4 linked regions of the Saccharomyces cerevisiae S288C genome follow. The protein of the gene in region 1 binds, or shares a complex with, the protein of each later gene. Each region holds a gene or a part of one and is shown in the gene's direction. Other genes may lie near its edges.

Region 1 (7,735 bases):
CAACTGTTGATGTTATAGAAGAGCTAAAGAAAGCAGAAAAGGAAATACCAGCGGACGTGAAGGAATGTATAGTTTCGAGTGATCAACCTGGTGATGAGGCTACGGCTGAAACAATTGAAACTGCTAACGCCGAAGAACATTCTAATACACTAAAAAGAAAAATCGAACAGGTGTAAAAAAGAGGAAGTTCGAACCATTTTTTTTTTTGGTCTTGTGAAGACTACGCTCTCATTTTATCTATTTTTTTATGTGTATATATGATTTAAAAAAAATCGATGTACTTATGCATTTAAATCGTTCAATTTTTTTGTGATAGTTCGGTCTCTTCTACGTATCGTCCAATGGATGAATTACCATCAAGGATGAGTTACCTATATAATTACAGGTTGAGTAGTCAGTGTCCATATAGAAATTGTAACTTTGATAAAGAAGATCTTCCGTAGTAAGATCATTCGGACAGGAAAATTGAAAATCGCTTGGGCAATTTCGTACTAATGTATAGCACATGTCAATACAAGGTAGAATTTCGTAATAGTCATCCAAAGGTTTAATAAATTTATTCAAATAATCATTACGGTTGTGACTTTTATCTCTGTGGATGTAGTATTGGGAAGACGTCGTGGTGCATCTCGGAATTGATACTGCACATACCCAATCACGATAAGCTTCGGCACAATCGTCACAAGTCATGACCGGAGAATATCTTGCGTCTTTGTCTGCGTCACAGGATATTAACTGTAGAGCTTTGCTAAAATTTGCATATAGTGCCTCTGCAATGTGGTCATATGTCTGCGCCATGAGAGTTTTATTACCCACAGAAAATGAGGATGTAGGAACAGAGTAAGCGACGTCACTGCAGAAGTCCAAACCAAAGATCAAAGAGCAGACATCGGTACTTCTTGTGGTAAAATAAACATGTGAAAATAAAATGCCGCCCACACTTGACAACCCATCACCATTACTGATTTTCTTTGTCAGGTACGCTACATAAGTTGTTGAGGCATTCAGTCCTGTCACGTAAAACATTTCTGTCACGCTACCACCATATTCTGTAATTTTTTTTTGAATCGCCAAGTCAGTACGCTCTAAAGGATTTGTACTATTTGACGTAACTGTTGCATTTGATGTATTTTGGGAAGACACTAAATATGGTCCATTTTTCACAGCACAAAGAGATAAATTATAGTTTTGGTTTAGTTGAACAGAATCTTCGTACGAGTAAACATACAGATCGTACAAGGATGGATCATATATTGAATAATTGTGATAAACTTTGGCGTCTGCGGTGACATTCCCCGTTGATAGTAATGCAGAATTCATATCAGTGTCCAGGACCTCTACCCAAGGCCTTACATCCCACTGAAAAACCAAATCGTTCTCAGAGATACTCAGTCTATATTCCCAATTTTCAGAGGCGTCGGAACTGGACAGAGGTTGCTCCGTAGTGGAATTCACTAGCTCAGCGACCACATAAAGATTTGAATACGTGGAGGTAGCGTTCGAGCTAGAAGACTGCACTGGACTGATGGCTAATGCTTGGATGTAGCCATCCTGAAAAACTGCACTTTGACCTATATTTGGGTTCTCTAAAACCGTTTCATTAAAAGAGTAGTATATTGTTAAATCCACATCTGATCTATTCATGGGCATTTGGCATATATTGCCGCTAATAAACATTAACACTTCATACGTGGGAGCAAACCCATAACCGGAGGCTTCTGCGTCAATGGTAAATACAAAACTGTCTTTTTTGCCCGCTGTTATGTTAGATAAGATCGGGGTCCATTCATAAATGCTATCCGAATTGATGATTGTTTGTTGACCAGTAGCCATAACGTTTTTCTCCCATCTATTTAGGCTGGGAAACTTTAAGGAAATATTCTTATTTGCGAAAGGATTGAAGTCTTGGAATAAACCGTGAATAGAAGTGGTAAATAGGCAGTAAACCACGAATAGTGCTTGCCACACTATCATCCTTAGAAATAATACTGCCGCTGGACAGAAATTGTAGTGTTACGGGTTTTACTGCAATTCAGTATGGCAGTTAAGCCAGTCAAGTATTTGAGAAATAGCCAAAACGGTACGTCAGCCGGTCGAAATTATTAGGGAAATTTTCCGCAACCAATGGCTCAGTTTCAGTAACCTGTTCTTGAGAAAACAACACGTTTACTTGTAGAGTTACTATTGCGGTCCGATGGCAGCGAAACTATATCATTATTATATTATGTATGGCTTCTCAATTTTGATCTTTTTTTTTTTTGGTCAGTACGCGATTTTGAAAGAAATGGAAAGAAGCTATAAAGAGCACAGGATAAATATCTTTTCAAAGCTTGAATAATTTTATAAAAGGTGTAGGAACAGGCCCGACATACAAGAATGTCGACAAGTACAGAGAAGAGGAGCAAAGAAAACCTTCCATGGGTTGAAAAATACAGACCCGAAACGTTGGACGAAGTGTACGGACAAAATGAGGTGATCACCACAGTTCGTAAATTTGTAGATGAAGGTAAATTGCCACATCTTCTATTCTATGGGCCTCCAGGTACCGGTAAAACTTCTACAATTGTTGCTTTGGCACGTGAGATATATGGTAAGAATTACTCGAACATGGTTTTGGAGCTGAATGCATCCGATGACAGAGGTATTGATGTGGTGAGGAATCAAATTAAAGACTTTGCCTCTACAAGACAAATCTTCTCTAAAGGGTTCAAGTTAATTATACTGGATGAAGCAGATGCCATGACCAATGCCGCACAAAATGCGTTGAGAAGAGTTATAGAACGGTACACCAAGAATACGCGGTTCTGTGTATTGGCCAATTATGCGCATAAACTTACACCTGCGTTATTGAGTAGGTGCACGAGATTCAGATTTCAGCCCTTGCCCCAAGAGGCCATTGAGCGTCGGATAGCCAACGTCTTGGTGCATGAGAAGCTGAAGTTGTCTCCTAATGCGGAGAAGGCCTTAATAGAACTTTCTAATGGGGATATGAGACGTGTGTTAAACGTTTTGCAGTCTTGCAAAGCTACTTTAGACAATCCCGACGAGGATGAGATCAGTGACGACGTTATCTATGAATGCTGTGGGGCACCCAGACCAAGTGACTTAAAGGCAGTATTGAAGTCGATACTGGAGGACGATTGGGGTACCGCCCACTACACACTTAATAAGGTACGCAGTGCCAAGGGTCTCGCGTTGATCGACCTAATCGAGGGCATAGTGAAGATACTGGAAGACTACGAACTTCAAAATGAGGAAACAAGAGTGCATTTGCTTACCAAACTGGCCGATATAGAGTACTCGATATCCAAGGGTGGCAACGACCAGATTCAGGGCAGCGCGGTCATTGGCGCCATCAAGGCCAGCTTCGAGAACGAAACTGTTAAAGCCAACGTATAATCGACGCAAATATGTATAGATACAATATGTACAGAACAACTGCATTGTGCAATATAACAACATAACACAACGCCCAGAACGAAATAAAAAAAATAAAAGAAATAGATGAAAGCATTTTCAATTTGCATACCGGAAACCGTAAATCAATTGGCGTCTAGCTAACAACTGAGAATGCGAATCGCCAAATTGTTACAGAAAGTAGCATTCCGTTACGTGATCTGTACTTTAACCTCTTGGACGTAAAGAATGGCAGAACTCTGGCTCTAGTGTTCTGCGAATGCCAGATCGGGAAATATTTCCCAAAAGGGCAACAGCGGCACGAACAAGAATTTCGTGTTAAAAATCGCGTCCGGCGCGAAATTTTTCGCGGAGGCATGCGACGCAAAAGCGACTCGAAATGTCGGGAGCCAAATGAGGCTACAAGGCTGTGGGCAGATTTTGGCGTTATTATGGAGAATAAAAGGAATGGTAGCTTCCATATAGCGATAGGAAAACATATATAAGGTCAATAGGCCTACATGGTAATGGGATTGATAAGCTTGTCCTTAACTCTTGTGTCTTGGAATTACTATTGCGTACATCAGCAATCATCCATTGTCAAGAACAAAAACGATAACAAAAACAATCAATTATACAAATAACAGTAAAGTAATAAAATGTGTGAATACAGCAAGGCTCTTCATATTCTGCTCAAGTCGCCAGTAACGGATGACATAATAAAATTCTTAACAGACACAACATTGAGGGTTGTTCCTTCAAGCAACTACCCCACGCCTCCCGGTTCTCCAGGAGAGAAACACCTCACAAGGCTGCCATCGCTAATGACTTTTATCACTAGATTGGTCAGATACACCAACGTCTACACACCCACTCTGCTCACCGCTGCGTGCTATTTGAACAAATTAAAGCGTATTCTGCCCAGGGACGCTACTGGTCTCCCCTCGACCATCCATCGCATTTTCTTGGCCTGTTTGATACTGAGTGCTAAGTTTCACAATGACTCTTCTCCTTTAAACAAGCACTGGGCTAGGTACACCGATGGTCTCTTTACACTAGAGGATATCAACCTTATGGAAAGGCAGTTGTTACAGCTGTTGAACTGGGACCTCAGGGTGAACACAGAAGATTTGATCCTAGATCTGCAGCCTCTATTAGAGCCCATCAAGCAAGACTTGGCAAGATCCAGCGACCAAAGGAAGAGAATTAACATGATGATGTCCATGAACAGAAGGACTTGTGCTGGCACGAGTCCTATCAGATCAAACAACAGATTCAAACTCTACGAAAAACAGAGAAACGTGTCGATAGCATCCGATTTAAGTTCTGCTACTCTAGTCGACAGTTGTAATGATCTAAGAAGGCTAAAAGATGTAACCAACATAGCGAACAACACAGTCGCTAACACGAATTACGTCAGGACGGTAGAGAAATGGAACGACAATGTCAACAGGCAAAGTTGGGATCTGGAACAGATCATGAGTCAACATGGGTTTTAATGTGGTAAACAAGATGGCCCTTACGGGGCTCTTAGTGGGAGAAAGATTTTTAATAGAGCATAATTAACGGATACATAATATATTATAAATTTAAATAATCAAGGATACCTAATAATAATAACAATCAACTGAACACAACATTAAAAATGGTATTTGTTATTGTATGTTAAGCCCTAAGTGATTGTGCCGTTATAACTTCCATTCGGGTGATACCTGCAATATGAGGAAGAAAAAAGATAAATTTTTTCTTCTTAAAGTATAAAAGGCGGACATATTTGATTTAAATGCAGAAGTTTTCTCTCAGTGGTTTATGTTTTACATATGATAGAAAAAATGAAGCAATAGCAAAGTATCGTAGTGCGAACCGGTCTCGTAACTTTGATAAGTTTATCAAAGGCGTTAACATTTTGTTTCGTAATAGTACCTTAACACATGACGAAGATGAAAATTAAACATGAATTCAAGGAAAAATGGTAAATGACGAGAAAAAAGCTGTGCACCAGTCTGAACATGGATGCCACAAGTACTCAGGTGTCCTATGAAGCATTAAGTATACCCAAATTTCTGATCCATTTTCCTTTATTTTCTTTTTTTTTTTTCTCTCACATCTGTGACTGTATTATGAGCAAACTGTTTACGTTGAACGGAATCGATATGTAAATTAAATCTTTTGAAATATGTAGGACAGTGCTTGTATAGGTCTGTTAAGTAGATTATAGAATGTACGCCTTTTTTCTGGGCGTGAAATAGATCAGAAATCCTGTTAGGTTGCCACTGGTCCATTTCAGTGTTGCTCATCCAATCAATCATGTATTTACATGCCTGGAGTGGCCTATTCTATGTATTAACAGCCTTTGCAAGACGCGACATTGTTCTTTCCGATATGGCTCGGAGTAGACTAAATATGCTACTTATAGTTTTTCTTGCGTATACCATTGTCTTATAGTTTTTGCACACATTAATGTTTAAAATTGAAACTACGAAGCAAAACAATAAAAAAAACAAACAAAACTTAAAAATAAACAAAAGACGCTCGAAACCAAGTGCATTTATTGAATGTTTTTGGGAATGCAAGTAGCAATACTATTGTAAAAGTACTACTATTTCCCTGTATCATACGCTTTTACTACTATTCCTCACATAAAGCGAGATGCTTACAGAATGCATAAGAGAGAGAAGAAAACCCTATTACGCCCACTTGTCTATATTAGATTACTGTCCCTATTTATATCATCATTGCAAAACGTGAGCACCTCATTAGACGTAGATTCTTGCATAAGTATTACTAGCAGGAGAGGAAAAACTCCACCCACACACCTCAACATGCTGAGAATTTTGCTGCGAGCAGCAAGAGGCAAAATCCAAATTTAAAGTAATTTACGCATAGAAGACATTGTAAAGGGATTGCAAAGACGTAGAGTACGCAAGTTAGAAACCGTTCATCTTTTAAAACTCCCAAGTTTTGACAAATTTGCGAGTGTGTGTGTTTCTGCTGATCTTGACGAGATTAAACTTTGTTCCTGAAGCAACAACGACAGCAACTGAACATCCTCTGAATAAGTTAATATGTTTTCCGCTCAAAAGCCAATATATGGCAATGGAGCAGGCGTGAACATGGGTGGTGGTGGTCCTTCAACTAATAATCCAGGATCTATGTCCATGCCTGGGGTTCCAACTTCAATGGGTCCAGGCATGAATCAACAAATTCCAAGTGGAGGCCCCATGCTAATGGGCAATACTCCGAATAATAATAATAGCAATGAAAATGGCGAGAACAACGGCAATAACGGCAATAACGGCGGTAACGATGCTAACGCAACTCGAAACAATCCCAACATGGTCAATAATAGAGGCGCAGTGCATGCTCTAGATGATCCCAATGTATACCACTGGATTTGTCAATTGACCTACGGCCCTCAAAAGGAACAAGCACTGCTTGAATTAGGTCGCAAAAGAGAACAGTTTGATGACCTTGCCGTTGTGCTTTGGTCTTCCTTTGGTGTAATGACCTCATTGCTGAACGAAATCATTTCCGTATATCCCATGCTGCAACCTCAGATGCTCTCTAACAATCTATCAAATCGTGTATGCAACGCTCTAGTTCTTCTACAGTGTGTTGCATCTCACCCAGAGACAAAACATCTCTTTTTACAGGCCCATATTCCTCTCTTTCTTTTCCCCTTCCTAAATACTACCTCCAGGCAAAGAACTTTTGAGTACTTGAGATTGACTTCATTAGGTGTGATAGGCGCATTGGTCAAAAATGACTCACAAGACGTAATAACGTTTTTGCTAAGAACCGATATCGTGCCGTTATGCCTAAGGATCATGGAATCTTCTTCTGAGCTTTCCAAGACAGTCGCCATTTTCATTTTACAGAAAATCCTACTAGATGACGTTGGATTGCAATACATCTGTGCCACCTTGGAAAGGTTCTACGCCGTAACTAATGTCTTAAAAGATATGGTTGAGCACTTGACCGTGAGCACACCACCGGGACGACTACTGAAACATATCATTAGATGCTACTTAAGATTAAGCGACGATCTCGAAGCACGCAGGCTATTGAAAATAGTCTTACCTGCCAAACTGAGAGATAACACTTTTACGGAAGTACTAAGAGACGACGTCGGGTCCAAGAGATGTCTGGCACAATTGCTACTGACATTAAACGAAGAAACCTCATGATGCATCCCCATAGATATATTACTGTTTTTCTCTTTCTATTTTCCTGTATTGTTTTAACCTTGCCTTTTTGTTTTAGTTTCACTTCCTCACCTCTCCTAATTTTGTATAGTTATATTTATATGCATGAAATGTATAAAGTCCACTCATATTTC
Region 2 (4,589 bases), on another chromosome or scaffold:
CAGTGCCTTTGTTAAATGCTCATTTAGTATAATGGCTTCGTGACGTAGTTTTCCGATCTGTAAGATGTGCTGCTTAGATTCTTCCTCATATTTTTCCTTCATAGAGGCGTCCTCCTTCATGGCTTCTAGCTGTTTTTTCATGCTTTCTAAAGCTTCTGTGTCATTGTTGTGCGTTTCTATCTCCGTGTCAAGTTGGGATCGTAAAGATTTGACTTCCTGGTCTCTCTCTCTAGCCTCTTCTTCCCTTTTGTTGTCAACTTCTTCTATCTTCAATTCCAGATCATTTAGAGAATTCTTTAATACTGCTTTCTCCTTTTCATGGGATTCCAAAGCCTGTCTCAATTCATCTCTTTCTGTTCTCAAGTCAGATATATCTTGTTTATTATTTTCTAAGATTATCATGAGTTCCTGAACTTGGAGATTTAATTGATCTTTTTCCTTCCTGTAAGTGTTAAGTTCCTTACTATGTTTTTCAATTATGTCGTGTTTTTCATCTTCCAAAGCTTCTATCCTTGATTCGTATTCCAAAAAAACCTCTTCTGTACTTTCTTGCTCCTTTTCTAGGTTTTCTAACTCTGTATTTAGGGTCACAATCGTGGATTGTAATTCAGAGTTTTCGGTCTTGGTAGCTTCAAGTTTCTTCTTCAATTTCAGATTTTGTGATTCATATTCAGTAAGCTGCTCCTGCACTTCCTCTAATTGTTTTTGTGCTTCTTTCATCTTATTAAAAATTGATTTCATAGAAGATATCTTGCTCAATAATGTGTCATACTGTGTTTTGAATTCGTCTCTTTCCTTAATAACATTTGCTAGTTCATTTTTGAAGTCTTCATTAGGCGTTTCTTGATCCTTCTTGTGGCTTAGTTCCAATTTTAAACGTTCAATTTCTTCCCTTAGTTCCTTCATCTCATCACCAGCCTTTTTGTCCTCTAAAGGATTTATGGTGTCTACAGTCAGGCCGTCATTTACTTTTTGTTTGTCTACTCCTTCAGAGAGATCTTTCCCCTCATCGTCCGGGCTTGCCACGATACCATCAGCCTCTGGATCTGTGGACATTTTTGGAGGAACGGTGACGTTTACAGAATTGATGATTTCTTCAGGTTTATTGACGGTTTCATCAACGTCCTCCACATGAGGATGACTCTTGGCCTTCTTACCTGTTTTCTTCTTATTTTTACCCATTCTAATTAAAAAAAATGCAATTGTTTGAGGGGATCAAGTGGAAAGTATACACAAGCATCTACTATATAGCTGTTTATACAAGATTTTCTTGTTCTTCATGAATGGTCTTTCTGTTTGTTTCCATTTTTCGTATCGAAATGAGCACGAAATTCAAAAAGAAGTACTGAAAAAAAAATCAACATGAGAAGGAACAGCCGATCTCTCAGCGAAAACAGTGGCTTCGTTGAATACGCTGCTTGATCCTTACACAATAAGGAATTGGGTATCTCGCAGTTAATTTTATAACTTCAAGTCACTTCATAATAAACTAAGCTGAAGAAAATGGTCAATATTTCTGATTTCTTTGGTAAAAATAAGAAATCCGTAAGATCGTCAACATCCAGACCTACGAGACAGGTGGGTTCGTCTAAACCAGAAGTTATCGACTTAGATACTGAATCTGACCAAGAATCAACCAATAAAACACCAAAGAAGATGCCTGTAAGTAATGTAATTGATGTATCAGAGACACCTGAAGGAGAAAAAAAGCTACCTCTTCCCGCTAAGAGGAAGGCCTCTTCACCAACTGTAAAGCCAGCAAGTTCAAAAAAAACCAAACCCTCCTCTAAAAGTTCAGACTCGGCTTCGAATATTACGGCTCAAGATGTACTAGATAAGATTCCATCCTTGGATCTGTCAAATGTTCATGTGAAAGAGAATGCTAAATTTGATTTCAAAAGCGCAAATTCAAATGCGGATCCAGATGAAATTGTTTCTGAAATAGGTAGTTTTCCAGAAGGAAAGCCAAATTGTTTATTAGGTCTAACAATTGTCTTCACAGGTGTTCTGCCAACCTTGGAGCGTGGTGCATCGGAAGCTTTAGCGAAAAGATACGGAGCAAGGGTTACTAAATCAATTTCAAGCAAAACTTCTGTAGTAGTCTTAGGTGATGAAGCAGGGCCAAAGAAACTAGAAAAAATCAAGCAATTGAAAATCAAAGCCATAGACGAAGAAGGCTTTAAGCAATTAATTGCTGGGATGCCTGCTGAAGGTGGTGACGGGGAAGCTGCCGAAAAAGCACGTCGAAAATTAGAAGAACAGCATAATATTGCTACCAAAGAAGCAGAATTGCTTGTTAAGAAAGAAGAGGAAAGGTCGAAGAAGCTTGCAGCCACTAGAGTTTCTGGTGGCCATCTGGAGAGAGACAATGTGGTTAGGGAAGAAGATAAATTGTGGACAGTAAAGTACGCACCAACGAATCTACAACAGGTCTGTGGTAACAAAGGAAGTGTAATGAAATTAAAAAACTGGTTGGCTAATTGGGAAAATTCAAAGAAAAATAGTTTTAAACATGCTGGTAAAGATGGCTCTGGTGTTTTCAGGGCTGCAATGTTATACGGTCCTCCTGGTATTGGGAAGACAACTGCTGCTCATTTAGTTGCACAAGAGCTTGGGTATGACATTCTTGAACAAAACGCTTCTGATGTTCGCTCTAAAACTTTACTTAATGCCGGTGTTAAAAACGCTCTTGATAACATGTCTGTAGTGGGATATTTCAAACACAACGAAGAAGCTCAAAATTTGAACGGGAAACATTTTGTCATTATCATGGATGAAGTTGATGGTATGAGCGGAGGCGATAGGGGGGGAGTTGGCCAGCTGGCACAGTTTTGTCGTAAGACGTCAACTCCATTGATTCTAATTTGTAATGAACGTAATTTACCAAAAATGAGACCATTCGATAGAGTATGTCTTGATATCCAATTTAGAAGACCTGATGCTAACAGTATCAAATCAAGATTAATGACAATTGCGATCAGAGAAAAGTTCAAACTTGATCCAAATGTCATTGATAGGTTGATACAGACTACAAGAGGTGATATCCGCCAGGTTATTAATCTACTTTCAACGATATCTACGACTACTAAAACCATAAACCATGAAAATATCAACGAGATCTCAAAGGCATGGGAAAAGAATATTGCCCTAAAACCCTTTGACATTGCCCATAAAATGTTGGATGGACAAATATACTCAGACATAGGTTCAAGGAACTTTACACTGAATGATAAGATCGCATTATATTTTGATGACTTTGATTTCACACCCCTAATGATTCAGGAAAACTATTTATCTACAAGACCAAGCGTTTTGAAACCCGGCCAGTCACATTTGGAAGCAGTTGCTGAGGCGGCTAACTGTATTTCATTAGGTGATATTGTCGAAAAGAAGATTCGTAGTAGTGAGCAATTATGGAGTCTTTTGCCTTTGCATGCTGTTCTTTCATCTGTTTATCCAGCATCAAAAGTTGCCGGCCATATGGCGGGAAGAATCAATTTCACAGCTTGGTTGGGCCAAAATTCTAAATCTGCCAAATATTATAGGTTACTGCAAGAGATACATTATCATACAAGACTAGGTACATCTACTGATAAAATTGGACTAAGGCTGGATTACCTACCAACTTTTAGAAAAAGATTATTGGACCCATTTTTGAAGCAAGGTGCTGATGCAATTTCATCTGTCATAGAGGTAATGGACGATTACTATTTGACCAAAGAAGACTGGGATTCTATTATGGAGTTTTTCGTAGGTCCTGATGTGACCACAGCCATTATCAAAAAGATACCAGCTACGGTTAAAAGTGGATTCACGCGGAAATACAACAGTATGACACATCCAGTCGCAATTTACAGAACAGGTAGTACTATTGGTGGTGGTGGTGTTGGCACCAGTACTAGCACCCCCGATTTCGAAGATGTCGTTGACGCAGATGACAATCCAGTTCCCGCAGATGATGAAGAAACACAAGATAGTAGCACAGACTTGAAGAAGGATAAACTTATCAAGCAGAAAGCCAAACCTACGAAGAGGAAGACTGCCACCAGTAAACCTGGTGGTAGCAAAAAAAGGAAAACGAAAGCATGATTTATTCATACACTAAGATTATAATTACACTTTTCTTCTCATTGATTTTGTGAGCCGTTCTATCACAGATACGAAAACTGTGTGGTGATAATAGCTCGATGGGTATCATCACCGCCCTATATAAAATACTCTTATTAGTATAGTACACAAAATAATGTACCTGTACGTACAACCGTCGTTAAATATTACATTTATTAGGTCTAACATTTGTACCTAATATGTCATTCCAAAATTATGCGTTGCAATTGAGAAACTTCATATTATTATATTATTAATCGCGTGTTTGTCTCTATCGTTATCGTTAATATCGCAATCATCCATAAAGTTTTATAAATGCAAAACTTCAGTGTTGTCAAAGCGTTCAGCAAAGGCATCCCTTAACCAATAGTATAGTTTTTGGAATACAATTCTTTGAGCGTTGTGGTACCGGATGGAATGATCAGAGTCTGGAAAAATGTGCATGTCATAGTTCGTCAATCCCAATAGATTCAGTTGATCAA
Region 3 (7,757 bases), on another chromosome or scaffold:
ATTTCGAAGAATTTGTCATCACTTTTTTCAATACCCGAGTCATCTAGATGCGCCTTAGGCAAATAAGTTGGGATAGGTTGCTGCATTTCATACTCAATCACTTCAGAAATTTGAGTCATTCTTTCCGCCTTGGCATCATCCTGACTTTTATTTATAATTGCCGCATCTTCCTCAGTATTGACTTTTAGTCCCTCACTTAAGGAGACTTGACTAGCCAAGCGTTTCCAGTTATAATGGGCATCATGCTTATCTAAAACCACCCTCATTCCTTGAAAGAGCTCAATATAGGATGGTGACCTTTGAAAGTTAATTTTTGAAGCTGGCGGCGCTAACCTAGGAATAGTGGGGAATATTTCTTTCCGTTCAGTTATTCCTTCAACAAAATTTTTTGGTTTAGTTATTTCTTTCGCTGTTTCTTTATCACTGTAATCATCTCCTAATTTTATGTCCTTTGCGTCCTTCCCTTCATTGTTGGTATCTTTTAATTCATTAGAATTTTCTGTCAGCACTTTACTCGCTTGTGGAGAGAGTTTCTGCGTCAATGTAGATGCATCTTCATTAGTTTTGAGAGATATGTTAGTGTTTTCATTTGATACGCCCTTTTCTTGGGGCACCTTTCCCTCTGGAAACAAATTACTCGAGCTGTTAATGTTCTCCTGTTTATTACGGTAATGCTTAGGAATAAAATCACCAAAGAGGTCATCGTTAAAAACTCTACTTTCATTCTGTCTGTGTTCATCGTCATCACTTAAGTTTTCAACATCAGCTGCACGTAAAAATTCGCTTTGGGTATCAATACGTTGGTCCCCAGCCGATGTTGTAGAAACCCTATTTGCTGTAGTCACCTCAGCAAGGTCTGGCAGCTCTTTATTTCCATGAACTGATGACGAATTCGTCGCCTTCCCAATTATTTGATCATCTGTTTCTGCATCAAGTTTTTCAGGATAAGAAGACGCAGATACCTCTACATCTGCAAAATTGGAAATGTTATCCTGCTTTGTGGATTGATCCGCTTTTGGTTCGACATTTTTTTCGTTACTGGTATTTTCTGTCACAGGCTGAGAGGGATTGTAGGAGACATATTTTGTATCCCTTACTACTGAAGATATTCTGGTATTTTCTTGAGGATGTGCGCCATTTCCAACATCAGGTGGTTTTCCGATCAAGTCATCAGATTTGAATTCAACTGCTCGAAGAGAAGATTTAGCAGTTTGTGATTCTTTTGTGGAAAAAGAAGTACTTTTCTTTTTAATTTTGGGAGATGAAACGACTGCCCTTTTAGGGGAGGATTTCTTTTCTGAGGTCATTGGCTTCTTCACTGGAGACTTAGGATGCCTCTGCGATATTTTTTTAGGCACTCTTTGAACTGGTGAAGGCTTGCTCTTGCTTTTACTTCCAAAAACATTTTTTAACACGCCAAAAAACCCTTTGCCTTTGTTAGGCTTCTTCTTTTCTATGTGCTCTGCTTTAGAGGCGTTTGTCTTGGTCTTCTTTTGAATTTCTCTTGGTTTTTTTGAAGACTTTTTCGTAGGTTTCACTGGTAAAATTTCCTTAGTTTCCTTGGTGACATTACTATTATCGCCTGATGGACTGTCCTTCAAGTCGCTTGTATAGCTTCTAAATGTTGTTATGGTACCGTATGATCTTTTCTTCTCGTGAGTAGCATCGAAATCGGATGCACCGGAAAGTTTGCTATTAACAGCCCTATGTTCGTCTGTTGAAGGGTGCTTGACCTCTTCCAATTGATGTTCTAAGTTTTTTATCAAATTCTCATTTACACAGAGTAAATCTTTGGCCATCGATGAGTTTAAGGAAGAAAAGCATATCGGTATTTCAATGGCCAATTGATTAATTATGGTGAAAACAATGTTATCGGATGTAACTTCTATATGTTTATCGTCATGTTTGGTTAAGACGTCTAAGATTACGATGTTATCTCTACCATCGTTACTGCAAAATCTTGCAAAAAAAGCCAAATGAAGGTTGTTGACCTCCAATATCTCCTTGGATGGTGGTATGTTCAGGAATAAGGCAAATTTTGATTTTATTTTTTCGGAATCATAAGCGCAAAGCTCGTGAGCAGTAGAATATAATGTAAAATGGCTTCTACTAGCTTTAAATAAATGAAATGCAGTGTCTTTTTCCAAAATTCTAGCCTTCGTAATCAAGTCAGCAACTGACGAAGAAGAGATAAATGCAGAGGATAATTTACATACCATTGAGAAAGAATCTTTTCCCTTCAATCGATCAAAACGTAGAGTGCTTTTGTCTAATATAGAAACTAGAACCTCATCTATATAGCAATGACGCTCCACTTTCAACTTAGGGATCTTGGAGGGCAACGGAACTTCGTTGATCAATGAGTTCATTAAAATATCTGAGATTAAGGGCCTGTTTGATCCATCTGAAGTGTAGTAACTTTCTGCCTCCAGTATATTGATGAAAACCACATAATCACTGAATATGACTAATAAATTTCTCTTATTTTCATCATTCAAATCCACTACATCATACACACCGACTACCCTTCTCTTCAGCCATTTGTATTGCAGTTCTACGGGCCAGCATTTGGCTAATTCTGTAAGGATTTTTCCCGATGGAGTAAATACTCTGGTACTATAAGAATGAAGTGGGGAATCTAATTTTCCAAACGAATCAATGACATCAATGATATTGTTGTAGCATTTTTTTGCCATTTCTTGATTTTTCGGTCTCCATTTTTTCGACTTCCACAATCTCTCTATAATTAACTTTAGCTTCAGTAGTTTTTCCTGAGGTCCCTTAATTATACTCTCGATTTTCATTTCCGTGTAGACCTCTCTTTCTGGAATTACATTGCTGAAATGCCTAATAAACAATTTAATATCTTTGCTGAAGTTCTTTGTGGCCGCCTCGTGTCTTGTATATGCTTTGTAGAAATAAGGAATAGTAATGCTGCATGCCTTCAGTACTTCGAGGGAACCGTAAGGGATTGCTGTCTTTAGCGAGTCTAGAAAAATACAATTGATTCTTGTGACTTCATCTATTGTAGGTGGGAAGAGTCGATTTAATTTGGTTGTGGATAACCCATTAATTTCTTCATTGAGTACTCTGACTCTCAAGGCGATCAGGAATTTTTGCAAAAATTCTACCAAATTGAAAGTAAAATTTGTTTGTAGTTGTAATAACTCGTTGCAAATGGCCTTGACAAGATCATCATCCGATTCTGTGGGTAATTCGTCCTCTGGCGCCTTATAACCATATTCTGTCTGTTCCGGTGAGTATTCTGTGACTGGGTTAAAAAGTTGTTCAAGTTGTTCACCCAGATGGAATACCAACCTATTATTTAGTTCGATGGTGGATTCATTGTTTTCATAAATAACATCTAACAGGGTAGAGCTGACAAATCTATTTTGCAGAAGTCCTGATGTAAAGAAGCGCTTCCCCAGATCTTCTGGAGGAACTGCTGTTATCAACTGGCAACTACTAGCCAAATCTCCAGCATAAGGGGGGTCATAGTCGCAATTTTCCGATTTATTGGACAATATTTGTGATAAGTCTGATGGTGAAAGTAATGGATAGCGCTGTAACAGAATGACAGCAATGCATTTCTTAACATTGCTTTCCTGATCACTTGGACTCAAATTCTCAATGGCCGGATAGTATTGCGAGTTGGAAGATATATCGACGGATTCGAAGCATGATGTTCCTAATTTGTCGAATATTATAGCGTTCAACTTATTGCTGTTGGGGGACTTGTACACGCAGACAAAGAACTTCCCCCATATCAAGTCATCTGACCCGTGATAGAATACTGATTGAGTGAACACATTATCCGTCCAGTCTGAAAGTGATTTATCATCATCAAACAATGAATGACCATTTAGCGGTGTGGTCTCGACAACAGATTTGGATAGTTTGATGTTAAATAAGGTTTCATCGTTCTCTTTGTCTTTCTTTTCAGAGTAAAGAGACGACAGGTCTTTCTCCATTGGTGAGGTGTAAATATACTCTTTTAGCAACCAGATAACAGCCCGAACACGTAATGAGTAGCAGGTAGCAGCAGTAGAATGCGAGTACAGACAAACTAGTGTTGTTTTTACTATCCGCAGTGAGAGAAATCTTCCTCATTGAAGATCAAAGCCTTTGTTTACCATTGTTTTTATTTACCTTTTTAGAATTGTTCGAACAAAACCCTAGGTCTTGGCAACTGGCAATCGCTCAACATGACCTAATTTATAGCTTAGGGTTCTTTTTTGTCAATTCTATGCGTATGACAAAGAGCACCACGATGGTGATCGAAATCTCTAGGAGTAGCATACCACAGCGATATTATTTAGTAGTAGGCGGTTTATTATCTTTGTCCCTTTATACTGTTGTGTTTCTTGCTTATTGCTTCAGTAGGCAGCGTATAGTATAACCAGAAAAAAGTGAAAAATAAACTAAAAAAGCACTATGAGATGAACGGTAAAAATCCACCAGAGATTTGCTCACTAATAATCCTGTACCATGTCCATCAACCTACATTCCGCACCCGAGTATGATCCATCTTATAAGCTGATCCAGTTGACACCAGAGTTACTGGATATAATACAGGATCCGGTTCAAAATCACCAGTTAAGGTTTAAGTCATTGGACAAAGACAAGTCTGAAGTTGTACTGTGTTCGCACGACAAGACTTGGGTGCTGAAGCAGCGCAAACATTCAAACACAGTTCTACTAATGAGAGAATTTGTTCCTGAACAACCTATTACTTTCGACGAAACGCTCTTGTTTGGACTGTCCAAGCCGTACATGGACGTCGTGGGATTCGCCAAGACTGAATCAGAATTTGAGACCAGAGAGACACATGGCGAATTGAACTTGAATTCAGTACCAATATACAACGGAGAACTGGATTTCTCCGACAAAATCATGAAGAGGTCATCTACAAAGGTTATCGGGACCCTGGAAGAACTACTTGAGAACTCACCATGTTCTGCGCTAGAAGGTATATCAAAATGGCATAAGATTGGTGGATCTGTGAAAGACGGTGTGTTGTGTATTCTTTCACAAGACTTCCTTTTCAAAGCACTGCATGTACTACTGATGAGCGCAATGGCAGAATCACTCGATCTACAGCATCTGAATGTTGAGGATACACATCACGCTGTGGGGAAGGACATTGAGGACGAGTTCAATCCATACACAAGAGAAATCATTGAAACAGTGCTGAATAAATTTGCTGTTCAAGAGCAAGAGGCTGAAAACAATACGTGGCGCTTGAGAATACCGTTTATAGCTCAGTGGTACGGGATTCAAGCGCTAAGGAAATATGTTTCTGGAATAAGCATGCCAATTGATGAGTTCCTCATCAAGTGGAAGTCCCTTTTCCCACCTTTCTTCCCATGTGACATTGACATTGACATGCTGCGAGGCTATCATTTCAAGCCTACCGATAAGACTGTCCAGTATATAGCGAAAAGCACACTACCAATGGACCCCAAAGAACGGTTTAAAGTCCTGTTTAGGCTACAGTCACAGTGGGACTTGGAGGATATCAAGCCTCTAATTGAAGAACTAAATTCAAGAGGTATGAAAATAGACAGTTTCATCATGAAGTATGCCCGCCGTAAAAGACTGGGCAAAAAGACCGTGGTCACGAGCAGGTAGCACACAAAACTGCCTTCGATGGGCAATGCGAATATATAGCGGAACCACTAAAGTAATAGTGGATGACGTGAATAGCAACAAATATCTATCATAGTAGCTTTATATATTTATATATATTACAATACTATTATGCACCCTATTACCCGCAATAGTTGATAGTGACCTACCAATTTTAGATACGGTCGCTGACAAATAGTAAGGCCATCGCCCAGGGATATATGATGACTATCTAAGTAACTCACTCAGAGTAAAGACCGACAGAGTTCATTAGTGTGTTATATTTTCTATTTCAGATACATCATTTTCATTAAAATATATCGCATACACGAAGGAACTGCTACAACTGGAAGATGTTGAAATCAACTGCTACAAGATCGATAACAAGATTATCTCAAGTTTACAACGTTCCAGCGGCCACATATAGGGCTTGTTTGGTAAGCAGGAGATTCTATTCCCCTCCTGCAGCAGGCGTGAAGTTAGACGACAACTTCTCTCTGGAAACGCATACCGATATTCAGGCTGCTGCAAAGGCACAGGCTAGTGCCCGTGCGAGTGCATCCGGTACCACCCCAGATGCTGTAGTAGCTTCTGGTAGCACTGCAATGAGCCATGCTTATCAAGAAAACACAGGTTTTGGTACTCGTCCCATATATCTTGACATGCAAGCCACTACACCAACAGACCCTAGGGTTTTGGATACGATGTTGAAGTTTTATACGGGACTTTATGGTAATCCTCATTCCAACACTCACTCTTACGGTTGGGAAACAAATACTGCTGTGGAAAATGCTAGAGCTCACGTAGCAAAGATGATCAATGCCGACCCCAAGGAAATAATATTCACTTCGGGAGCGACCGAATCTAATAATATGGTTCTTAAGGGTGTCCCAAGATTTTATAAGAAGACTAAGAAACACATCATCACCACTAGAACGGAACACAAGTGTGTCTTGGAAGCCGCACGGGCCATGATGAAGGAGGGATTTGAAGTCACTTTCCTAAATGTGGACGATCAAGGTCTTATCGATTTGAAGGAATTGGAAGATGCCATTAGACCAGATACCTGTCTCGTCTCTGTGATGGCTGTCAATAATGAAATCGGTGTCATTCAACCTATTAAAGAAATTGGTGCAATTTGTAGAAAGAATAAGATCTACTTTCATACTGACGCCGCACAAGCCTATGGTAAGATTCACATTGATGTCAATGAAATGAACATTGATTTACTATCAATTTCTTCTCACAAGATTTACGGTCCAAAGGGAATAGGTGCCATCTATGTAAGAAGGAGACCAAGAGTTAGATTAGAACCTTTACTATCCGGTGGTGGCCAAGAGAGAGGATTGAGATCTGGTACTTTGGCCCCCCCATTGGTAGCGGGATTTGGTGAAGCTGCGAGATTGATGAAGAAAGAATTTGACAACGACCAAGCTCACATCAAAAGACTATCCGATAAATTAGTCAAAGGTCTATTATCCGCTGAACATACCACGTTGAACGGATCTCCAGATCATCGTTATCCAGGGTGTGTTAACGTTTCTTTCGCCTACGTGGAAGGAGAATCTTTATTGATGGCACTAAGGGATATCGCATTATCCTCGGGTTCAGCCTGTACATCTGCTTCCCTAGAACCTTCTTATGTTTTACATGCGCTGGGTAAGGATGATGCATTAGCCCATTCTTCCATCAGATTTGGTATTGGTAGATTTAGTACTGAAGAGGAGGTCGACTACGTCGTTAAGGCCGTTTCTGACAGAGTAAAATTCTTGAGGGAACTTTCACCATTATGGGAAATGGTTCAAGAAGGTATTGACTTAAACTCCATCAAATGGTCAGGTCATTGAGTGTTTTTTATTTGTTGTATTTTTTTTTTTTTAGAGAAAATCCTCCAATATATAAATTAGGAATCATAGTTTCATGATTTTCTGTTACACCTAACTTTTTGTGTGGTGCCCTCCTCCTTGTCAATATTAATGTTAAAGTGCAATTCTTTTTCCTTATCACGTTGAGCCATTAGTATCAATTTGCTTACCTGTATTCCTTTACATCCTCCTTTTTCTCCTTCTTGATAAATGTATGTAGATTGCGTATATAGTTTCGTCTACCCTATGAACATATTCCATTTT
Region 4 (4,510 bases), on another chromosome or scaffold:
CTACTAATCTCTTTGCTAAAACATGTTGCAACCAAATAGGGCTACCATTGTACTTCTAATGAATACTCTTTACGGCGCACTGCAATGCGTAATAAAGTTTTATTGTAGCGAGGTTTCATTTTTGCTTATGTTCTTTTTATTGTTTAATACGTGCATATGTATTCTATAAGATAAATGTATATAACTGCCAACAAAATAAACTAAAATCAAGGTATGGCTGTAGAAAATGATACCACAGATAATAAAATAATAAATAATCTAATAGCTGAGTGGAAGAAAAAAAAAAAATAAAAAAAGAGTAGTACAAACTAAGGAGATAAAAGTGTGAACTATGCCTATTCAAAAAAGTAGAATAGAGTAAATAAGCATACTTGTACTTATCTCAGTTGTAAAATATCGTTACTTAGAACTCCTCTTTTCTCTCTCGAAAAAAAAATGTCTTTAAAAATAATATCATTTCATCGAAAAGGCTTCCGGAGCTTCACCTTCCGGTCCAATATACTTTGGATCCCTCCATGGACCGATATCGGATAGGTATAACCCACCCTTGGATTCATCAACTTCAGACTTACCGCCAAATTTGACTGGTAAGTTTTCAGCTGGAATTTGCTTTAATAATTCCTTCTGGTAAGAAGAACCCAAGATAAAAATCTTTGAAACAGTGACTGGATCCAAGAAAGGTTTAAATAGCCTAAATGCGGTAGAGAAACCGAATGGCGCGTTGATGATGTAAAATTTACCCATACGTTCGGGGTAATAGTTTTGACTTATGTAGGAGGCTTCCCTAACATATGACATAACACTGTATGCACTAGATATGGAGATACCTTTCAAATCCATAATTGTACATGAAGTTTCCACTAGGTGACCAGCAGCTCTTGAACAGGCAGGTAATCTGTATTGAACGACAGATTCGTATTCCCAAACCAAGTTTTTCAACATCCTCTCTTCAGAGGTAACCTTGTTCATTTCATGTAAGTTAACAGCACCTAATTCTTCAAAATATACTGGGCGGCCATCTTTATCGGTTTTATGATAATATTGTGGGTAGAATTTGGCAATCAATGGTTTTTCATCATAATGAAAATCTTGCAAGATAGTGTCGGTACCATAATCCTTCCTCCATTTTTCGCAGTTTTCAAACATTTCTTTAGCCAATTGAACATCAAATTTTCTGGCTCTCAAAAAACGTAGTAAAGTTGAATCGTCTAAACGTTCAATGAAACCAGCGTCTTCCAAAAGTTTTCTTAGTTCTGCCAATGCCTTCTCTTGAGCGCTGTCTAAATTTCCTGGAGTACCAGGCAAGGCATCTGGAGGACAGTTTTGAGGGTAGGATTCTAAAAATTCCTTTTCTTGTTGCTATTTAAAGTGAAGTCATAGTAATACCACTTGTGTTTGTTAGTAAACTTATTGATATATCATTTTTGCTTCATATAGACAGAACTATCTGAAGAATGTGAATATTGTCACAATGAATGTCAAAAAAAGAAAAAGTAAATAAAAGCAACAACATACTGTAACCATTGTGTTTTAGGGCGATGAAGGTTTGGTTTGATGCTACAGGCGCTGGTCAAGCGATATACCAGGAAAGGACACTTAAGACACAAACAAAGGAAGATGTACCATTTTATTGTTGATCAACGTTGAAAAAAAAAATGTGGAAAAAACGAACTAGCCAGTCGCGTTGTACGGAACATCTAACACGTAAATAAACATGATTTCATATATTTTATTCCTAATGTGTACACTATTTGACCCAAAAGGTGGATGTAAGGTCAGGGATCATGGTTGATACCGCACCATACATTGGTTCACTAGGGAGAAGTTCCCTTTTTGATACTGGTGATATAGAACAAGCCCCTGGTAATAATGCAATTGGTATTAATGAGGAAGATATTCACGCGTTTGTATCAAGTACTGGCGAAACGGTTCAATTAAAGAAGAAGCCTGCGAAGTTAGCAACCGGGAATATTAGTCTATACACTAACCCAGATACTGTTTGGAGATCAGACGACACGTACGGCATCAATATAAACTATTTGTTAGACAAAATTGAGGCATCTGGCGATGACCGCACTAACGCACAAAAGACTTCACCTATAACTGGCAAGATAGGTAGCGACACACTCTGGGTAGAGAAATGGCGTCCTAAAAAATTTCTAGATTTGGTTGGTAATGAAAAGACAAACAGGAGAATGTTAGGTTGGTTGAGACAATGGACGCCGGCTGTGTTTAAAGAGCAATTACCCAAATTGCCAACCGAAAAAGAGGTCAGTGATATGGAACTCGATCCATTGAAAAGGCCACCAAAGAAAATTTTACTACTGCACGGGCCACCAGGAATAGGCAAAACCTCAGTAGCTCACGTTATTGCCAAACAATCAGGGTTTTCTGTCTCAGAAATCAATGCAAGTGATGAAAGGGCTGGACCTATGGTAAAAGAGAAAATATATAATCTTTTATTCAATCATACTTTCGATACAAATCCTGTGTGCTTAGTGGCGGATGAGATTGATGGAAGTATTGAGAGTGGATTTATTAGAATTTTAGTTGACATTATGCAAAGCGATATTAAAGCCACTAATAAACTATTATACGGTCAACCAGATAAAAAGGACAAAAAGCGCAAAAAGAAAAGGTCTAAATTGCTTACGCGACCTATTATTTGTATTTGCAATAATCTATATGCTCCTTCTTTGGAAAAGCTGAAACCATTCTGTGAAATTATTGCTGTGAAAAGACCTTCCGATACTACCCTACTAGAGCGATTGAACCTTATCTGCCATAAAGAAAACATGAATATTCCTATAAAAGCAATCAATGACTTAATTGATTTGGCTCAAGGTGACGTAAGGAATTGTATAAACAATTTACAATTCTTGGCCTCGAATGTTGATTCAAGAGATTCCTCTGCATCAGATAAACCTGCTTGTGCAAAAAATACGTGGGCGTCATCCAACAAGGACTCCCCCATATCATGGTTTAAAATCGTGAACCAATTGTTTAGAAAGGATCCACATCGTGATATAAAGGAGCAGTTTTATGAATTGCTAAACCAAGTAGAGCTTAATGGTAACTCTGACAGGATATTGCAAGGCTGTTTTAATATATTTCCCTACGTAAAATATTCCGACAATGGTATAAGAAAGCCAGCAAACATTTCAGATTGGCTATTTTTCCATGATTTAATGTACCAATCAATGTATGCGCATAATGGCGAATTGTTACGTTACTCCGCCCTTGTGCCCCTAGTCTTCTTCCAAACGTTTGGCGATATCGCAAACAAAGATGATATTAGAATGAAGAATAGTGAATACGAACAACGTGAATTAAAACGAGCCAATTCAGATATAGTTAGTCTGATTATGAGACATATCTCGGTTCAGTCCCCACTAATGGCAAGTTTTACGGATAGAAAATCGTTAATCTTTGAAATACTACCATATCTAGATTCGATGATCTCTTCCGATTTTAATAAAATAAGGAACCTGAAACTCAAACAAGCCATCATGGAGGAATTAGTTCAATTGCTGAAAAGCTTTCAACTGAATCTAATCCAAAATCGGTCAGAAGGATTTGATGTAAGGGGTGGCCTAACAATCGATCCCCCAATCGATGAAGTCGTATTGTTAAATCCTAAACATATTAACGAAGTCCAACATAAACGGGCTAATAATTTGAGTTCACTGTTAGCAAAGATTGAGGAAAACCGGGCCAAGAAAAGGCATATAGACCAAGTGACTGAGGATAGACTACAGTCACAGGAAATGCATAGCAAAAAAGTCAAAACTGGGTTAAATTCTTCCTCAAGTACAATCGACTTTTTCAAGAATCAGTACGGATTATTGAAGCAAACTCAGGAATTGGAAGAGACACAAAAAACTATTGGATCAGACGAAACCAACCAAGCAGATGACTGCAATCAAACGGTTAAAATATGGGTGAAATACAATGAGGGGTTCTCTAACGCTGTCAGGAAAAATGTGACTTGGAATAACCTGTGGGAATAAATGACGTAAGATATATACGCAGTCTCTCTTAAGAAGCATACTTGTATATGGACCAGCAGCTTACATAGAAATCTAAAAGAAGTAAATAAAGAACATTAGCAATCAATCCTGCCGGTAGTCGCAACAGCTCCGATTTTGTCACGCAGCGTTCGTTTTTTATTCGTGATCTTTTACCCTCTTCGCTATCGTTCTTATTTCTACATAAATGGAACCCCGAAGAGCAGAAAGACCGAAAATCGAATTACTATCTGTGGGATACAATATAGCGCATAGAAAAGAACAAAACATAGATAGTTTGGAAAAATAGTACAGACTGCTGAATTAACTCCACTTGGTGCTTTTGTATATATCGAATGGGCCAAAAAAGTAGTAAAGTGCATATAACCAAAACAGATAGGGCGATCCTAGAAGTAAAACGATCTAAAGATGAAATTCATAAGTTTACGAGGAGGACAGATAATTTGATTTTGGTAGAGAAGAGTCAACTAAAAGACCTAATA

Evidence for each region.
Region 2: the proteins of RFC3 (region 1) and RFC1 are in contact, whole or in part, in a crystal structure (PDB 1SXJ), measured with the Saccharomyces cerevisiae proteins. Residues at the interface, in NP_014109.1 of Saccharomyces cerevisiae: Asp120 (codon at 2,734), Met122 (codon at 2,740), Thr123 (codon at 2,743), Asn124 (codon at 2,746), Ala125 (codon at 2,749), Gln127 (codon at 2,755), His151 (codon at 2,827), Lys152 (codon at 2,830), Leu153 (codon at 2,833), Pro155 (codon at 2,839); in NP_014860.1 of Saccharomyces cerevisiae: Glu635 (codon at 3,406), Gln636 (codon at 3,409), Trp638 (codon at 3,415), Ser639 (codon at 3,418).
Region 3: RFC3 (region 1) and DCC1 share a complex: the UniProt entries of both Saccharomyces cerevisiae proteins name them as parts of the CTF18-RFC complex.
Region 4: RFC3 (region 1) and CTF18 share a complex: the UniProt entries of both Saccharomyces cerevisiae proteins name them as parts of the CTF18-RFC complex.

What each region holds. Positions count from the first base shown.
Region 1 is NC_001146.8:83,842-91,576, forward strand, and holds RFC3 (replication factor C subunit 3), read left to right. Parts: upstream 1-2,376; coding exon 2,377-3,399; downstream 3,400-7,735. Other genes in the region: pseudouridine synthase PUS4, read left to right, coding at 1-176; MID1 (Mid1p), read right to left, coding at 328-1,974; PCL1 (Pcl1p), read left to right, coding at 4,056-4,895; CCR4-NOT core subunit CAF40, read left to right, coding at 6,462-7,583. UniProt on the Saccharomyces cerevisiae protein: Component of ATP-dependent clamp loader (RFC and RFC-like) complexes for DNA clamps, such as the POL30/PCNA homotrimer and the checkpoint clamp DDC1:MEC3:RAD17 complex.
Region 2 is NC_001147.6:747,798-752,386, forward strand, and holds RFC1 (replication factor C subunit 1), read left to right. Parts: upstream 1-1,503; coding exon 1,504-4,089; downstream 4,090-4,589. Other genes in the region: RUD3 (Rud3p), read right to left, coding at 1-1,182; STE13 (Ste13p), read right to left, coding at 4,417-4,589. UniProt on the Saccharomyces cerevisiae protein: Component of the ATP-dependent clamp loader RFC complex for the POL30/PCNA homotrimer DNA clamp.
Region 3 is NC_001135.5:92,495-100,251, reverse strand, and holds DCC1 (Dcc1p), read left to right. Parts: upstream 1-4,488; coding exon 4,489-5,631; downstream 5,632-7,757. Other genes in the region: BUD3 (Bud3p), read right to left, coding at 1-3,971; NFS1 (cysteine desulfurase), read left to right, coding at 5,982-7,475. UniProt on the Saccharomyces cerevisiae protein: Component of the RFC-like complex CTF18-RFC which is required for efficient establishment of chromosome cohesion during S-phase and may load or unload POL30/PCNA.
Region 4 is NC_001145.3:422,003-426,512, reverse strand, and holds CTF18 (Ctf18p), read left to right. Parts: upstream 1-1,784; coding exon 1,785-4,010; downstream 4,011-4,510. Other genes in the region: phosphatidylinositol/phosphatidylcholine transfer protein SEC14, read right to left, coding at 454-1,359, 1,516-1,524; ESCRT-III subunit protein VPS20, read left to right, coding at 4,364-4,510. UniProt on the Saccharomyces cerevisiae protein: Essential for the fidelity of chromosome transmission. Required for the DNA replication block checkpoint.